2 linked regions of the Struthio camelus genome follow. Each later gene encodes a partner of the first gene's protein in a complex. Links are inferred from orthologs where the notes say so. Each region holds a gene or a part of one and is shown in the gene's direction. Other genes may lie near its edges.

Region 1 (7,666 bases):
AGACACTTCATTAACAACTTCAAGTTTTATTTAAGGTCACATTCTTTTTTGGTACTGTGAGCGTAAGCAAAAAGAGTGAATTAGATGTATAAGCTCTAAATTTATGTGTGAGCATAACTTCAAGCATCTTTTTCTCCAGTTAAGTTTTCTAGACTGACTTGGTTCGGTCTATGCTCCTCTTCTATCTTTTTAATATGTGCTGCTGCAGTTGGAAGTTAGATGTGTAACTCCCCATTCTTTTGGGAAACTGTTAGGAAAGAAGGGGGTAGAAAGCCTCTCTCCCTTCCTGATATTATCATTATGCCACGAAACATGCCTTTAAAAAGTGTTTGCTGGCTTAGCTTGTATTTAGTAGGACAGTGTAATATACTGGCTGAAAACTGTATGCTGCTGTCATGTCCATAGTGGAAGACTTTTCCTGCCCAACTACAGTAGCAAAGACCAGTAGCGTGGACAAAACCTAAGGATGATGAAACTGGAAGATGTGCTGGTGGTAACGCGTGTTCTGTATAATCTGTGTTACAGCTTTGCACTTCTATAATATAGTTAAAGCCAATTTCTGTTTTCCTTGTCTAAATAAGCCCTGGGGAAAATCTGTTTACATAATTACACTTACCAAGTTTATCAGATGTTTCCAGAACTAAGAAATTATAAAGCACTGTGTCAGCAACATCTGATACAAGGTACTCTGTGATTCATTGTATGATCAGAAACGTTTTCACCGAAAAATCAGGGCAATCTGATAGTGATCCTCTAGTTGTATGAGATTAGGCTTATTCATCATCTGTTCTTGGGAGAGAGAACATCAGCTTAACTTTTTTCTTTGTATTTTCTTCAGATGAGCCAAAAAGCCTCTCTATTTAAAAATAAAAAAAAAATAGAGATAAATAAAAAGCTGAAGGTCATAAATATAATCTATCTTGACTTAATACTAAAGAAAGCATCACGATCTTGTGGTTCTTGTTTTCAGTTGAACTAGCCCGCAGCTTTCATGGAAATTACAGATACTTATCACCTTTGAATTTCAAGTCTGCTCCTGCCAGTAGCAAGTATTTATGCAAATATTTTTTATCCCTCTTACATCAGTTCTCCTTTTGCAAAATATCTTCTTGAAAGATATGCTATGCATTAGTAGCAGTCCATTAGTACTTGCAAAGAACCTTAGGATGGAAGTGTTATCAACCCAAAAATCATAATGAAAATGGCTCCCCCCTTCCTACATCTGAATTAAAACAAAAAAAGACAAAAAAACCCCAAACCCTTCTTGTAAAAGATGTAGTTTTGTGACGCACCACAAAGGAGAGGTGCTAAGAACATTTCCATAAACATTTACATTAACTTAACAAACTAATGTTGCAGTAGTAAGTCACTTTCTTGCTCCACTGAGAGCAAGGGATGCTTATGGCACTTACAGAACAGAATCATTCAGGGCACTGAAGTAGGCTGTGCACCTCTGAGTGCATGGCTTTGGCTATAAAAGATGATTTGTGTGTCTTTGTCCTAAACATTTAGATTAGAAATGATTTAGATTTAGAAAGATTGTTGATCATACCTAGGATTGAGCTTGGGACTCTTCTTGTAATGTATGTCCTCACTCAGCATGCCAAGGATTGTTTTTTGATCTAAGGCAGTATTGTGCTTTTTCCTTATGCTATTCCATCTTTGGCACTCTTTTTGCGATGAAGGAAGGAGAGGACCCAAATGTTGTCATCTTCATACTGGGTATAAAGTAATATAATGTGCATCACTATGGAGTTCACGTCTAGATGGTACAGCCGCTATAACATGAACGTCCAGTCAACACTGAAACTTGCACTATTAGAGCAGCAAAATCAGGCTGACTTGGCAATGACAGAAACCTTTGGTAGAAAAAAGACAGGATAGCACATAAGCTTAGTATGATCCACTCCTGACTGGCAAACAAAAGAGAATGCTAATGGATAAACATAGCTAATGCTAGTGGTTATGCTGTCTGTCAGTTTATGTATACTAGTGCTATCCAGGTTATCAGTGTTCCTACTGTACCATAGGTACACACTTATGTTACTCTAGTCTAACAGAATTGCTAAATGAAGTAGAACCCACCAACATGAGTACAACAGGACAGCTGTGGATGCTGGCGAAGCAGGAAGGCGAACAGACTTCAGAAAGCGGCTAACAACTCACTTGCTCTCCCTAAGTAGTAAATCTTACTGCCACCGGATTAGCCAGAGCGCTACCCGACTCAGTAGGGCATTTCTTACGAGGCCTTGATTTTCCTCATAGCAACGTTCTTTTAGAAGCTCTTGGAAGTTAGCAGTGCCACAGATTCCCTGGATATCATTGGAAACTGTGGCTATGCACACAGGATAACCTAGGAGCATAGTCTACTGAACTGTGTGCCTGTTCCACAAAGCAGTATGACACCTCACTGAACCATTACTGCTACCATGTCCACCTGTTAATTTTTGAATGGCTCGGTGGGCCGCCCTCAAAACCAGGGTAGGCTTAGGTCTATCTAAGGAAAGGAACTGTAGCTTTCCAGTGCCACTTGTATCCCTCCCCTTTTCAAGGCAATATGATTCATTCCTGGTGGCACACTAGTTACTGCCTGTCACTTCAGCAGAGCAGGAGACAGAGCGAGTGAGAGAACTAACCATGTGTGAACTCAGCCTGTCCTAGCTGTGAGAAAATAAATGTACCTTTGCTAAAACCTCTTCTTCAAGTTTTGAGTGACTATTTGTGTAGTTATTTCAGCTGTGGAAAATGCAAGGCTTTGACTGTGAGCATTAGACAATTTACAAGTCCAATTTACAAACTCTCTGAGAGAGTTTGATGTCTCTGATAAGTAGGCAGTAAAGGAATACTAGCATTTCAGTCCCTGTAGTTCATGCATGGTTTAGCTAATGTTAGATCATGAATTATGGCTGCTGAGGAGGTAGCACCCCTTCAGTCCTGTCACTTCTGCCATGGGAGTGGAAATGCCCAGCAAAAAGGTGGAGCAGACAGCTGAGGAAGGTAAAACTTTGTAAACTCTGCTAACAGTCTCACGTTCAGGCTATTTTTCTGCCAGGGCTCCAGCAGATCACGCAATGAAGAGTAGGTCCATCAGATGGCCCGCTGTAAATCTGTCATGTCCCTATACAAAGTCTGCGTTTCAGATGGGAGAGGAAGCATTCATCACTATAGAACTGAAGAATTTGGAAGAATGGGATGGGACAGGAAGGTCTTTGTATCGGCCAGCACGTTCCCTCCTACTGAAGGATACCAGACGGTTGTTCTCAGACTTGCTACTTAATGGGTAGGGCGTTAGGTTGAAGGTCACAAGTAGTCGCACAGTCTTCATGCTGAGGAGGTGTAACATGCTATGCTCTATGTGTGAGGAGTCAGAATTCAGCATTACTTTATGTCTGAGTGAGACTTACACAGGTGACTTATTGGTGATAATCTACAGGATGAGTTGGGTTCAAAACTTGCACTAAAAAGGACTGAGTGAAGATGGCAGTGGTGAGTGAACCTAATTTCCATTTAACAGCATTCAAGGTTGAAAGGATTTTCCTGCATTATGTGTCTTACAGGTTGCCATGAAAAAGGGGGATAAGGAAAGGGAGAAGAGGCAATAAAGAGGGGAAACGAGAAGCCACCTGGCATGGCTCTGACAACTCCTCGTGCAGTTGGGAGACCCTGCGGCCACTGACTCCATCAGGATCAGCTAAAGGAAGCAGTTCTGCCCAACGCAACATTGTCTGAGGGCCACAGTGAGTCCCTGATGGAGGACCCTGCTGACTTTTTGATTTTAACCTTCTCCCTGCCCGGGGAAGCTGTAGCCTAGGTTTCCTATCACCAGCCTGGAGTGCGTTGCGGAGCTTGGAAGCACTTTGGGGCCTGTGGCTGACAGAAACAGGCCTTAGGCCCGTGGCTGCTTTGTGTAACTGCTGGTGGCTGAAGGCATGAGCCCCCATCGGGCGAGGCTGAGTTTAAGACGTGTGTCCTTACGGGGCAGGGAGAGCGAGGCTGGGGATTTCTGTTGTTGTTTGGTTATCAGGGAGCAGAGGGCTCCTACAAACGTAGTCGGAGTGGTTTAAGCTCTGCCGTGCCTGGCTGGCAAGGGCTGCCGGCTCACGACCAGCAGTTAAGTGCCAGCTCGGTTGAAGTCAGGCCTCCTAGTGTAACGGCTGCCTGAGGGCACCCGGCAGCCCCCCGGGCCGGGCCCACCCCGCCCCGCCGCAGCCCACTGCTCCCGGACGCGCTGAGGCGAGGCGGGGCGGCGCGGCGGCGGCGGCAGAAGCAGCCACGGCCAGGCGAGCGCCTGGCGCGGTGACATCACGCGGCGAGAGGCGGCGCCTCGCTCCCACCGCCTCTAGCCGGTGAGGCGGCAACGCGGCGACTTCCGCCTCGGTACGCCTGGCGGTGGCGAGAAGGCGGTGCGTGACCTTCCGCACCGACTTCCGCCTCAGTAAGTGTCATGGCGGCGGGGCGGGCACCTCACGTGACGCGCTCGCAAGGGCGCGCTCTCGCGCAGGCTCTCGCGGTGCCTCGCCGCCCCCCCCCCCCGCCCGCGTCCCCCTCTCGCCCTGGCCGCTCGCGCAGCTGCTCGGCTCTCGCTATATAAAGGGGCGAAGCGGGCAGAGCGGGCGGCTGGCGGCGGCGGCTGCAGCCCCAGGGCCGGCGAGCGAGGCCGGGCCAGGCCGCGGGGCTGCCCGTGAGCCGGGGCGGGACGCGCGCGATTTTGGGGGGACGCAGCCGGGCAGGTTTATTGTTTTAGGGGCGACTCCCCCCGCGGTTGGGGGCGTCCCGGGGGGCTCGGGACATGGCGAGCTCGGCTAACACAAACCCCGTGGTAAGGACCGGGTCGGGGGGCGAGGGGGGCCCGGGGGCAGCGCAGGCAGCGGGGGCCGGCAGGGCTCGCTGCCCCCTCCCCCGCGCTGCTTCCCGCCCGCCGCCGCCTCGGACAGTCCCGTCTCTCTTTCTCTCTCTGTCTCTCTCCCTTCCCCCCCCACCCCCGGCGGGAAGGGGCAGCCCGGCGGGGGCGGCGGGGGGCGCGGCGGGGAGCCCACTTGTGGCGCCCGGCGCCGGCCGCCTCGGCGGCGGGGAGGAGAGAGCGGAGCGGCGGGCGGCGGCGGCGGCGCCGAGGGGCGCGGGGAGGCGGCGGCGGCGGCCGGGCGCGGGCGGCCAAGGCGGGCCGCGGAGCCCCGCGGGGAGGCCGGGGCCGCGCCGCCGCCGGTGGGGACGGGAGGGGAGGGGAGGGGCGGCGGGGGGCGCGGGAGGGAGCCGCCGGGACGGGGGCGAGAGCGGAGCGAGGCGCGGGGCCGCCGCCTGCCGCCGCTGCCGTCCCGGCGAGAGGGGAAGCGGCACTCGGGCCAGGTTTCGGTTTTGTGGTGTCTGTGAGGTGAAACCCGCCCGGGCTCTGCTGGAGCCATTTTATGTTGCTTTATAACGAGGCGACGATGGTTGAAAAGCACTTATCCCAGCCCTGCAGGATCGGCTAAACGAGGCGAAAGCCCTTAACTTTTTTCCAGCGAGCGAGGAAGTATTTATTTTAAGAAAGAAAACTCTTACCCCCCCTCCCCGGTCTTCACCTTCTTGTGCTTTCTGCACCTTCTTGGGTGGCTTGCTGTTGTACTGGTATTCACATAGGTTTGCAATAAGCAGTCACATAAACCTGCGTAGCCACCGAGCCCCACCGATCGCTTCTTGCCTTTTCCCCTTTCTACGCCGCAACCGGCCCCGAGCCCGCCCCCGCACCGCCGAGACAAACCGGGAATCCAGGCGGCCCGGCGCGGGCTTGGCCCCTTGTTTGTGGCGCTGGGATCCATCATGGCCGCCCCTGCCTTTCTGTCTCCCTGCGCCTTGTGTTCCTCCTCCCTGCGGCTGCCCTGTTTATATAGAGCTATTGCCGCTCTCTAATATAGACTCTGCCTGGATGGGAAGGTGCTTTCCAGCCCCACGTCACCGCCTCTCCATTTAAACACCACATCAGCCTTTAAATAGGGAGAGAGCCGCGGAGAGCGGGCTGGGAGGTGCATGCATCAGAGGCAGAGGCTGAGAGACAGTCTTTTTGTCACTCGGATCCTGTGCCGGGTTTAGCTGGGTTTGCTGTTGCGCCCGGCTGTTGCTCTTCAGTCCCAGTCGCTGGAGCGAGCGGGCTGTAAAGCAGTTGTGCTTTCTGTCGGCTCGAGTAGAGGGGATGCTCTCCTGACTGGTGATCGCTGGTGTAAATGGACTTTCCCCTGTATTTATGCATTGCACAAAGGAAGGGATTTTTCACCCTTTCCCATGTTGTGAAAGTGTTTGTTTTTTGTTTGCTTGTGGGTGGGATTTTTTTTTTTTCTTCTTAGAGAGTGCAGAGTCCTGTGTGCCCATAAGCTCTTCTAAATAGCCTTTCTGCCGGGTAGGGAAAGAGCAATTTAAATGATTCAGATCCAGTGTGTCAAAAAGAGATGTGGTACTTGTCCTAGGCACTTTGCCAAGGTCCGAGCGCGGGCTGACAGCAGCTCTGGAGCTAAAAGCATCATTAATTAATATTAAAGTTTTGTCTGTGGGTAATGGGCCACAGGTACTACTTAAATACTTGGGAGTGTTTCTGGTGACAAAAGCTAATGAGCATGCAAATATTTTTATTACAGACTGGGAAGAGCAAAGATTTTAGAATTCTACTATTTTTTCATTTAATTCCAATTATTAATTATTTAATTATTTTATATGCTGCTTAAAATAGCAGTAGTAGCAAATGTAAAACATACTATTTTTTTCTTTCAAATCTGAAATTTCACAGACCTGCTTATGATGTAGAGTCATGTAGTCGCCAGGTAGCATCTGTTGCTTGGATATTTTAGCAGATTTTGCATCAGAGAGTCTTAGAAAATTAGTCAGTGATTACATGCAGGGCAGTTGCTCAGTAAAAGCATATCATGTGTGTGACCTAAATCTGTTAGTTATCTTTCTCTTCATAAACCTCTGGCTTTGTTTTTTTAGTTGAAAAGGTTCCATTTCTGTTATTTCTGTACAGTAAATTAGAGGTTTTACTTCTCTCTCTCTCTCCCTCCCTCCCTCCCCCCCCCTTTTTTTTAATCAAGTTAGTAATGAATAGAAGAAAAAAGATATTACTGTGAATAATCTCCAAAGTACTTGTAAATATCTTTGTTGCAGCAGTTTACTCAGGCTTGCTTTCTCTGGGCTGTATCTCTATACTGGAATAACAAAACCTTTGTGAAAGTCTCTCGGGAAATGTCTGTGTTTGAACATTCTGTTCAAATTAACAAAGGCAAAACTTAAAATGAGCCTGATGAAGCTAGCTATGCTTTAGGCTGATTCTCAGCTAAGCAGAACCTTGCAAAGATCTGCCTATTGCGATCAGTAGTGCACGGTTAACTTTGTAAAATTCAAATTTCATTCAGTAGTAACAACGACTGCACTTGCCCACTTTGATAACCCTATGGTTAAGAGCAGTTTGAAACACTGCAGCTGCATGATAACTTTAGCAGGCTAGACTTTTCCAACAGCATCATGTCAACATCTGATCAAATCTCAATTGCTAGAAGTGTGTTCTCCCTAATACAGGGCATATAAAATGTTAATGTTTATATGCAGTAAAAGATTTTGTAGGTGATGAAAGTAATTCCTTTGTAAAAGTCTGACAGCTGCAGTAATTGCTTATAAATATATATTATAAAGTGTTACTTCTTTT
Region 2 (7,475 bases), on another chromosome or scaffold:
TGCGTTTCAAAGGCGCGCTTGTGTTGTATAATTTATCGGCTGCAGATAACAGGCGAGCAGCTAACGAGCGGAGGGGGCTCCGGGCCCCCCGGGCTCCCGAGGGAGCCTGGCACCGCGGGCACCGGGCTGCCAGCCACCACGCCGGCCCGCGACGGGCCGGGCCACCGGCAGCCGGAGGGGGGTTACCCCCCGCCGATGGGTCCCCTCCGGTGCCGGGGTGTTTGGGGGTGCCCCAAGGTGGGGGGAGAGCCGGTGCCCATCTGTGCCCTGCTTTGGGGGCACCGGCGGGGTGCTTCCCCCCCTCCCCGCCACACTCCCACCCCAGCCGCCCTCGCAGCGGGGTTTGCTTAATCCCAGACAAGGGGGAGACACCAGGCACCGGGCTGGCAAGCGGGTGCTCCCGCGCCGCGCTCCTGCCCCCCTGGCAAACCCCGCCGGCGCAGCGGCACCGTGTGCCGGGGGCAGCGAGGGCGGCCTGGGCCCGGAGGGGCGCCGGGGCCGGGGCGCCGGGGCCGAGCCGGGTCAGCGGGGCGCCCCGGGCAGAGCACGGAAACACCAGCCTGCGCCGTGTTTCCCACCACCTCGGCCTTACACTGACATCTGCCGGCACCAAGCCCGGGCCTGGCGCCGGAGCCCCCCCAGCGCGGCCGGAGCCCCCCCAGAGCGGCGCTGCCCGTGGCCCCGCAGCCCACGCGGCCCCCCGCGGCTCCCCGACGGCCACCTGCGGCACGGCGCGCGGGTGCCCACCGCGCTGGCACGGGGTCAGCGAGGCGGCCGGCACCCGCGGAGGGCCAGGAGCCCCGAGCCGGATGCCGGGGTGCCTGTGCCAACACCCCCCCCGGTCCCCCCCCCACCCCACCGGCGGCCTCAAGCAGGGGGGCAAGGGCAGGTTTGATTTACAGCTCTGGGCACCGGCCAAGCCAGGGAGGGCTTGGCAGGAGGCGGCTGCGGTCCCCGGGGGGGCGAGGGGCTGCGCCAGGTCCCCGCTGCCGCCCCGGCACCGCGGCATCTGGGGGGCACCCGGAAAGCTGGCGCCATCCTCCCCTCGCCAGCTGGCCTCCGCGGGCGGCTTGGCGCCTGGCTGGCCCCGCTGCCCCACCAGCGCACGAGCCGGGCCAGGCCCACCTTCGCCCCGCGCCGCAGCTCCCCTCGGATGTACCCTCGTCCCGCTAGGGCAGGGAAGCAGCCGGAGCTGGCAGCGGGGCCCAGGCGTCCGGGCTGCCGTCCCTCTGCCTCCGCTCCCCGGCATCCTGCCTGCCTCCAGCTGGCGGAGGTCGTGGGCAGCAGCGTCCCTCGGGCGCCTGCTTTGCCAGCTGGCAAACACAGCCCACGCCGCCTGTCCTGAGCCCTGCCGACCTGCACCGAATGTGCCAGGTCTCAGCGATGGGCGGACAGGGGCAGCTGGGTGCAATAAACCCGGGGTGAACCCTGTCCCCTCCTGTCACCTCGCAGTGGGCCCAACCCAAGAGCACCCAAAGGGGGGGGACACAGCCATGCCCCTGTCCTCGCCTAGCAGGCACCCCCGAGCACGGGGAGCATCCCAGCGCCACACCAGGCCCCCTCCCCAAAAAACACAGCCCTGGCACAGCCGTGAGTACCGTGCCAGCCTGCCTGGGCGGGCTGGGGCACAGCAACGTCGCTGCCAGCCCCCCGGACGGCACCCTTGCCATGCTGGGGGGCACGGCGGGGCAGACTGGGAGCGCGGGGCGGCAGGGGGGTGGCGGGGGGAGGAGACCCGGCCGCTGAGACGATGATTTGAAGGAACGGAGATTGGAGGTGACGTCGCAGTGCGTTAAGCCGAGCGGCTGTTCCCGCGCTCGGCAGCACCGCCGCGGGGCGACCCCGCCGTGAACCGCCCGGCTGCCCCCCCGATCGGCCGCCGGCCCCCGCGCGCCAGCGTACGCCGCTGCCGCGCCGTCCCCACCTGCGTGCCCGCAGTGCCGTCGCCGGGTCCGGCCCCCCGCTGCGCCGCAGACGGCCGGCTCCGGGCACGGGGCACGCGCCAGAGAGGCCAGACCCAGCCAGCCCGGCCGGGGTGCCAGAGGTGTCTCCGCTCCAGACATCACAGCACCCATGCGGAGACACCTCAGCTCCGGATAGCACCCGGGGCCGTGCCCTGGAGACATCCCCGCTCCAGGCAACATGGGCTATGTACCAACTCAGCTCCAGACACCGTGGGTCACGTGCCAGAAACGTCTCGGCTCCAAGCACCGTGCGCCGTGTGCTGGAGATGTCTCGGCTCCAAGCACCATGGTCAAGCCCTGGAGATGCCTTGGCTCCAAACACCGAGTGCCATGCTCCAGAGATGCCTTGGCTCCAAACACCACATGCCATGTGCTGGAGACATCTCGGCTCCAGACACTATGGGCCACGCTCTGGAGACGTCTCACCTCCAGACACCATGGCCAAGCACTGGAGATGTCTCGTCTCCGGACACCACGGGCCATGCTCTGGAGAGACCTCTCTCCAGCCGCCTTAGCCGTGCGCTGGAGATCCACAGTGCCCAGGCCGGCTGGTGACATGTGCTCCACACACGGCACCATGCCGCCTTCCCTTCCAGCGTCCCCACACCAGGGGGACGCCTGGCCCAGACACCAAGCCCCCATCTCCCGACCCGCGGAGGGGCACCGCTGTGCCGCACAGCACCGCTCGGTGCCACCTCCAGCCTGGCACCCGCTCCCCAAACTTCGGCAAAGCCCCAGCATGGGGCCACGGGGTGGCATGGGCTGGCACGAGTCTCGGCCGAGCCGGGGAAGAATAGGTTAAAGCCAGGCGGCACGTGGCATTTGGGGGCCGGGGGGGGGGGGGGGGACAGGGCCGACCCCGCGTGTGCGCCAGCGCGGCTGAACTTTCGACCCAGCGTTCGCGGCTCCCTGAGCAGACGCCAGGCGCTTGGGCACCCCGCGGCGCCCCGAGGCGCGAAATCCCGCGCGGCGCTGTCAGACTCCCGCTCTCCTCCTTCTCCTCCTCCTCCTGCCGTTCCGGTTCATCTGCAGGCCACCGGGTGACAGCCGTTGGCCCTGTCCTCACCCCCGGCCCCCACCCGACGTCTAGCGCCGCCGCGCCAGCTGGGACCGCGGCCCCGGTGCCACCGCCAGCCCCACGGCACCCATGCCTGGTGGCCCACGGGGGGCCGGAGCACGGCGGGTCACACACCCTGGTTAGATGGTGGCCCCTGGTGTGGCGGCAGCGCCTGCAGGGGGCAAGAGGCCACCCTGTCCTGCCTGCCTGCCTGGCACCACGGTGGCACCGCTTGCCGTGGCGGGGGGGGCAGCCTCGGCAGCGTCCCGAGCCTCCCGCCCGCTCCGTGCCCGGCCCCTCGCCGTGGCCAGCCGAGTCCGCCAAACTCATGACACCAGTGGCCGCCGCTGGCCCGGCGGCACGTGCGGGGCCCAGGGCAAACGCCTCCTCGCGACGCCGCCGCGGTGGGGAGGGGGATCGGGGCGGCGAGCCCGCTGCGGGGCCCCCCGGCCCCGGCGCCGCTCGCTCGGGGCGGCGGCGGCGTGCGCGGCCCCGGCCGCTGCCATCCGCGGCCTCGCAGCTCCCCCTGCCGGCATCCGGCTGGCTGCGCCAGCCCCCCCCCCCCCAAAGGGGTCTAGGCCCCCCCAAAAGGGGGTCGGCTCCCGTGCCTGCCCCCCACCCTGCCCGGCTCCTGCGCCAGTCTCGGGGTGGGCAGCAACGCGCCAGGGAGCTTGTCCCGGGGCCCCCCCGAGGCCGGCAGCCAGCACCCCCCCCCGGCAATGCACCCCCCCACCCACTGCAACGCACCTCCCCATTGCAATGCGCCCCCCCCTTGTAATGCAACCCCCATTGCAAGGTACCCCGCATGGCAAAGCACCCCCCATTGCAATCCACTCCCTGCTGCAATGCACCCCCAACCACTGCAGTGCGCTCCCCTCGTCACAGTGCCCCCACCTCGCTGCAATGCACCCCTCTCTTTGCACTGTCCTCCTTTGCCATGCACCCCCAATTGCAAGGCACCCCCTAACTGCAGTGCACCCCAGTTGTAATGCCACCGCAATTGCAACGCACTCCCAACCGCAATGCACCCTCAACTGCAATACTCCCAGTTGTAATGTACCCCAAATTGCAATGCACCCCCGAGTTGCAAGGTACCCCCCTAATTGCAATACCCCCTAATTGCAACGCACTCCCAACTGCAGTGCCCCCTTTCCGCCTGCCCCAGCCGGGGGCCCAGTCGGCGGAGGTGCCCAGCGTAACGCCGGGCCGTTGAGGGGCTGCGGGGCCCGCGGGGTGCTCGGCGCTGCACACGGCCGGGGAGCGCGGAGCGGCGGGGTGTGTGTGTGGGGGGGGGGTCCCTGAAGAGCCCGAGGGGGGCCCCCAGAGACCGCGGGAGGGGCGCTAGGACCGCGTGGACACCCGCGGCCGGCCGGGCCCGCCAGTGCGCAGGCGCCAGCGCCGCCCCGCCCCCTTCCCGAGGCTACTTCCGGCCTGCTGCCGCGCGCGGCGGAGGCGGCGGCGCCATGGCCGGGATCCTCTTTGAGGACATCTTCGACGTGAAGGACATCGACCCCGAGGGCAAGAAGTTCGACCGCGGTGAGCGGGGCTCCGCGCCCGGGCCGCCGCCGCCGGCCCTCCGGGGAACCTTCTCGAAGGCGCCCGGCATGGCCGCCGCCGCCGCCTCCCTGGCCGTGCGCCTGCCGCCGCCCCCCCGCTGTGCCTCGTCTCCCCCTCCCCAGCCTCGGACTGCTCCCCCTGCGGGTCCCCCTGCTCCCCCTTCGGGCCCCGTTGTCCCCTCGGCCCCCCCCGCCCACCTGTCCCGTTTCCCTCCTCCAGCCCAGGACTGCTCCCTCAGTGTGCTACATCTGCTTCCCCTTCCCCCTCCGCAGCCCGAGGCTGCTCTCCTCAGTGTGCCCCCATCTCACACAAACACCTAGCTTGCGACTGCCCCATCTCCTTTTCTGCCCTTCCCACCCAAGGCGCGTTGTCCGCCCTTCACCCCGGTGTGCCCTGGGCCCTCACCCCCAGCCTGGGACTGCCCCCTTCCTCCCCGACACCGTGGGCTGCTCTACCTCCTGGTGTGCTCCATCTACATGCACACAGCCTCATCTCCCATTCCTCTTCCTACACACACCTGTGTCTGCCCCAGGCTCTTGGACCAGCCCCAAGCCCTGTGCTCCCACAAATAGCTCATGCTTGGTTGGTGGGAGGATGGCGCAGTCTTGGGACCCTTCACCCACCCAGCCTGTGCGGTCTTTTGTGTCCTTGCTCCTGACTCTGCTGCTCTCCACAGTGTCCCGCCTGCACTGTGAGAGCGAGTCCTTCAAGATGGACCTCATCCTGGACGTGAACATCCAGATCTACCCTGTGGACCTCGGTGAGCTCTCGGGCTGCTAGCACAGAATGCGCCGGGAGTGAGCTGGTGTCGGCCCGGGGTGGGGGAAGGCACGCACTGGTGCACAGAGGAGCAAGGTTGATCTCAGGCTTTCCTAGACCCCTCTGCTGTCCCCAGATCAGAGAAGGTGAGTGGTGCTGGGCACTTTTGCTCTGCTGGCGTGACCTGGATTCTGTCTCACCTCACTATGATATTCATTTGGGTTCTGTTGTGCCCTGTTCCCCATATACGCTCTGCGGTGAAATTGCATCGGTTGCTAGGGACTAAGCCTTAAAGAGAACTTCTGAGATGAGTTCCTGTGGTTGAAGACAGAGTCTTGCCATAGTGAGGAAGGCTGGAGTTAGTGCTATAGGGTCTCAGGTACTTGTCCAGAGCTCAGCCTCACCCTCTGGGACACTGTATGGAGATCTGTTGTTACGTCCAGTGAAAATGTCATCTGTGGTACCCTTGTGGCTCTGGTCTCCTCCGTGGTGGTGATGCACGACTGGGGAACTGGAGGAGACAAAGGGCCTGGTATGATCTTTCCTCGCTCCCCACAATCCTCTTGGAGGCCTGAACACAGGGGTGGGGCTTGTGCCAAACCCTCTGGAGCAGTCCTTTGCCTTTACCTACTCAGATCTGCTATAGATGTCCCAAAAGCCAGGCTGAAAGGTCACAAGGAACCTGGAACCAGTCTCAGATGGAGAGAGGGGGGAAATGGGGGAGGGATCATGCTGAGCTCTTCTCACTGCCTGGGAGGGTGCTGCTTGGCATCTCTCACTCTGGGCCTCGTGGAGGGCAGGCCCTTGTGCTGTTGCACGTTGAGATGTGTGTTCCTGGTGTCGAGAGCGGTGCCCTTGGGTGAACAATGGAGGATCTCATGAGAAGTGCTCTGTGCCCAGCTCCCATACTCCAGCTCGTGCCTGCTGTATGGAGCTGGGACTGGCTTGCTCACCTGTATGTGGCCTGCATCATGTGGTACTTGCAATGAGTAGCTTGTGGCACTGCCAGCTTTGCCCCATGAGCCTGATGCTGATCTGGCTGCGCCCACCCACGTTCTCACGGCTCCTGTGCCCTCTTATCCCAGGAGACAAATTCCGCCTGGTCATTGCCAGCACCTTGTACGAAGACGGCACCCTGGATGACGGGGAGTATAACCCCACAGACGATAGACCTTCCAGGTACCAGGGATCCAGTTGGCGTGGGTGGGTGGCACAAGCTGTGCCTGCTGGGATCCACAGAGCAGCCAGGTGGTGGCGAGGAAAGAGCTTAAATGCCGAGAGGCTGTGTGGTACCTTCTCCCAAAGGGTGCTTGGATGGGGGATGCCAGGAAAAGGGAAGTATGCAGCTTTGATTCTTCTCTGAGCTCCCGTTGTCCCATTGCAGGGCAGACCAGTTTGAGTACGTGATGTACGGCAAGGTGTACAGGATCGAAGGGGATGAAACGTCCACAGAGGCAGCCACACGCCTGTGAGTGTCTGTCCCCAGAGGGGGAGCAGTGCCCCAGGGTAGTAGGGGAGGCACAGGGATGTCAGACAGGATCTCCTGTGGGTTTCCCCCGTCTCACTAATCCTCTCCTCCTGCCCCAGCTCTGCCTACGTGTCCTATGGGGGGCTGCTCATGCGGCTGCAGGGAGATGCAAACAATCTGCATGGGTTTGAAGTGGACTCCAGGGTTTACCTGCTGATGAAGAAGCTGGCCTTCTAGAGGAGGATACATCTATCTTGCCTCCATGGACTGTCCCAGAGACATTTTGCTGGCAAGTAAACAGGATGCCTGTGACCCTGCATCCATGCTCCCTGGCCTCTCTGGTGCTGGTGGAGGAGGGGGATGGTCCCCCCTTGTCTTTTCTGACTCTTGCCAGGATTTGCAACCCCCTTCTACGCGGAGAGAGGTGCCTGACAGCCAAGCAGGGGCCATGCCGGGTGCTCTGCAGTCCTGTCAGGTGGTAGTCTCTTCTGACCTCCTGTCTTTCTGTACTTCAAAATCAGGCTCAGCCCCAGCCCTAGTCAGGGGCAGCTGGACTGAGACAGCCACCTGTCTGCATTGGGGCTGGGAACCTTATCTGAGGAGCCATCCTGAGACAGGCCTGGGTTGTTCTTGATTAAAGTGTTTGGGATGTGTTTTCTAGATCTGACTC

Evidence for each region. Proteins that work in one complex are often made in the same cells at the same time.
Region 2: GTF2A1 (region 1) and POLR2H share a complex: the UniProt entries of both Homo sapiens proteins name them as parts of the TBP-based Pol II pre-initiation complex. The link is inferred for Struthio camelus from reciprocal best matches to the Homo sapiens genes GTF2A1 and POLR2H.

What each region holds. Positions count from the first base shown.
Region 1 is NC_090946.1:60,988,025-60,995,690, reverse strand, and holds the start of GTF2A1 (transcription initiation factor IIA subunit 1), read left to right. Parts: upstream 1-4,538; 5' UTR 4,539-4,789; coding exon 4,790-4,819; intron 4,820-5,737; exon of another isoform or gene 5,738-7,666. UniProt on the Homo sapiens protein: TFIIA is a component of the transcription machinery of RNA polymerase II and plays an important role in transcriptional activation. TFIIA in a complex with TBP mediates transcriptional activity.
Region 2 is NC_090950.1:22,750,561-22,758,035, reverse strand, and holds POLR2H (DNA-directed RNA polymerases I, II, and III subunit RPABC3), read left to right. Parts: upstream 1-4,388; 5' UTR 4,389-4,484; coding exon 4,485-4,557; intron 4,558-5,254; coding exon 5,255-5,338; intron 5,339-6,422; coding exon 6,423-6,516; intron 6,517-6,721; coding exon 6,722-6,805; intron 6,806-6,924; coding exon 6,925-7,042; 3' UTR 7,043-7,465; downstream 7,466-7,475. UniProt on the Homo sapiens protein: DNA-dependent RNA polymerase catalyzes the transcription of DNA into RNA using the four ribonucleoside triphosphates as substrates.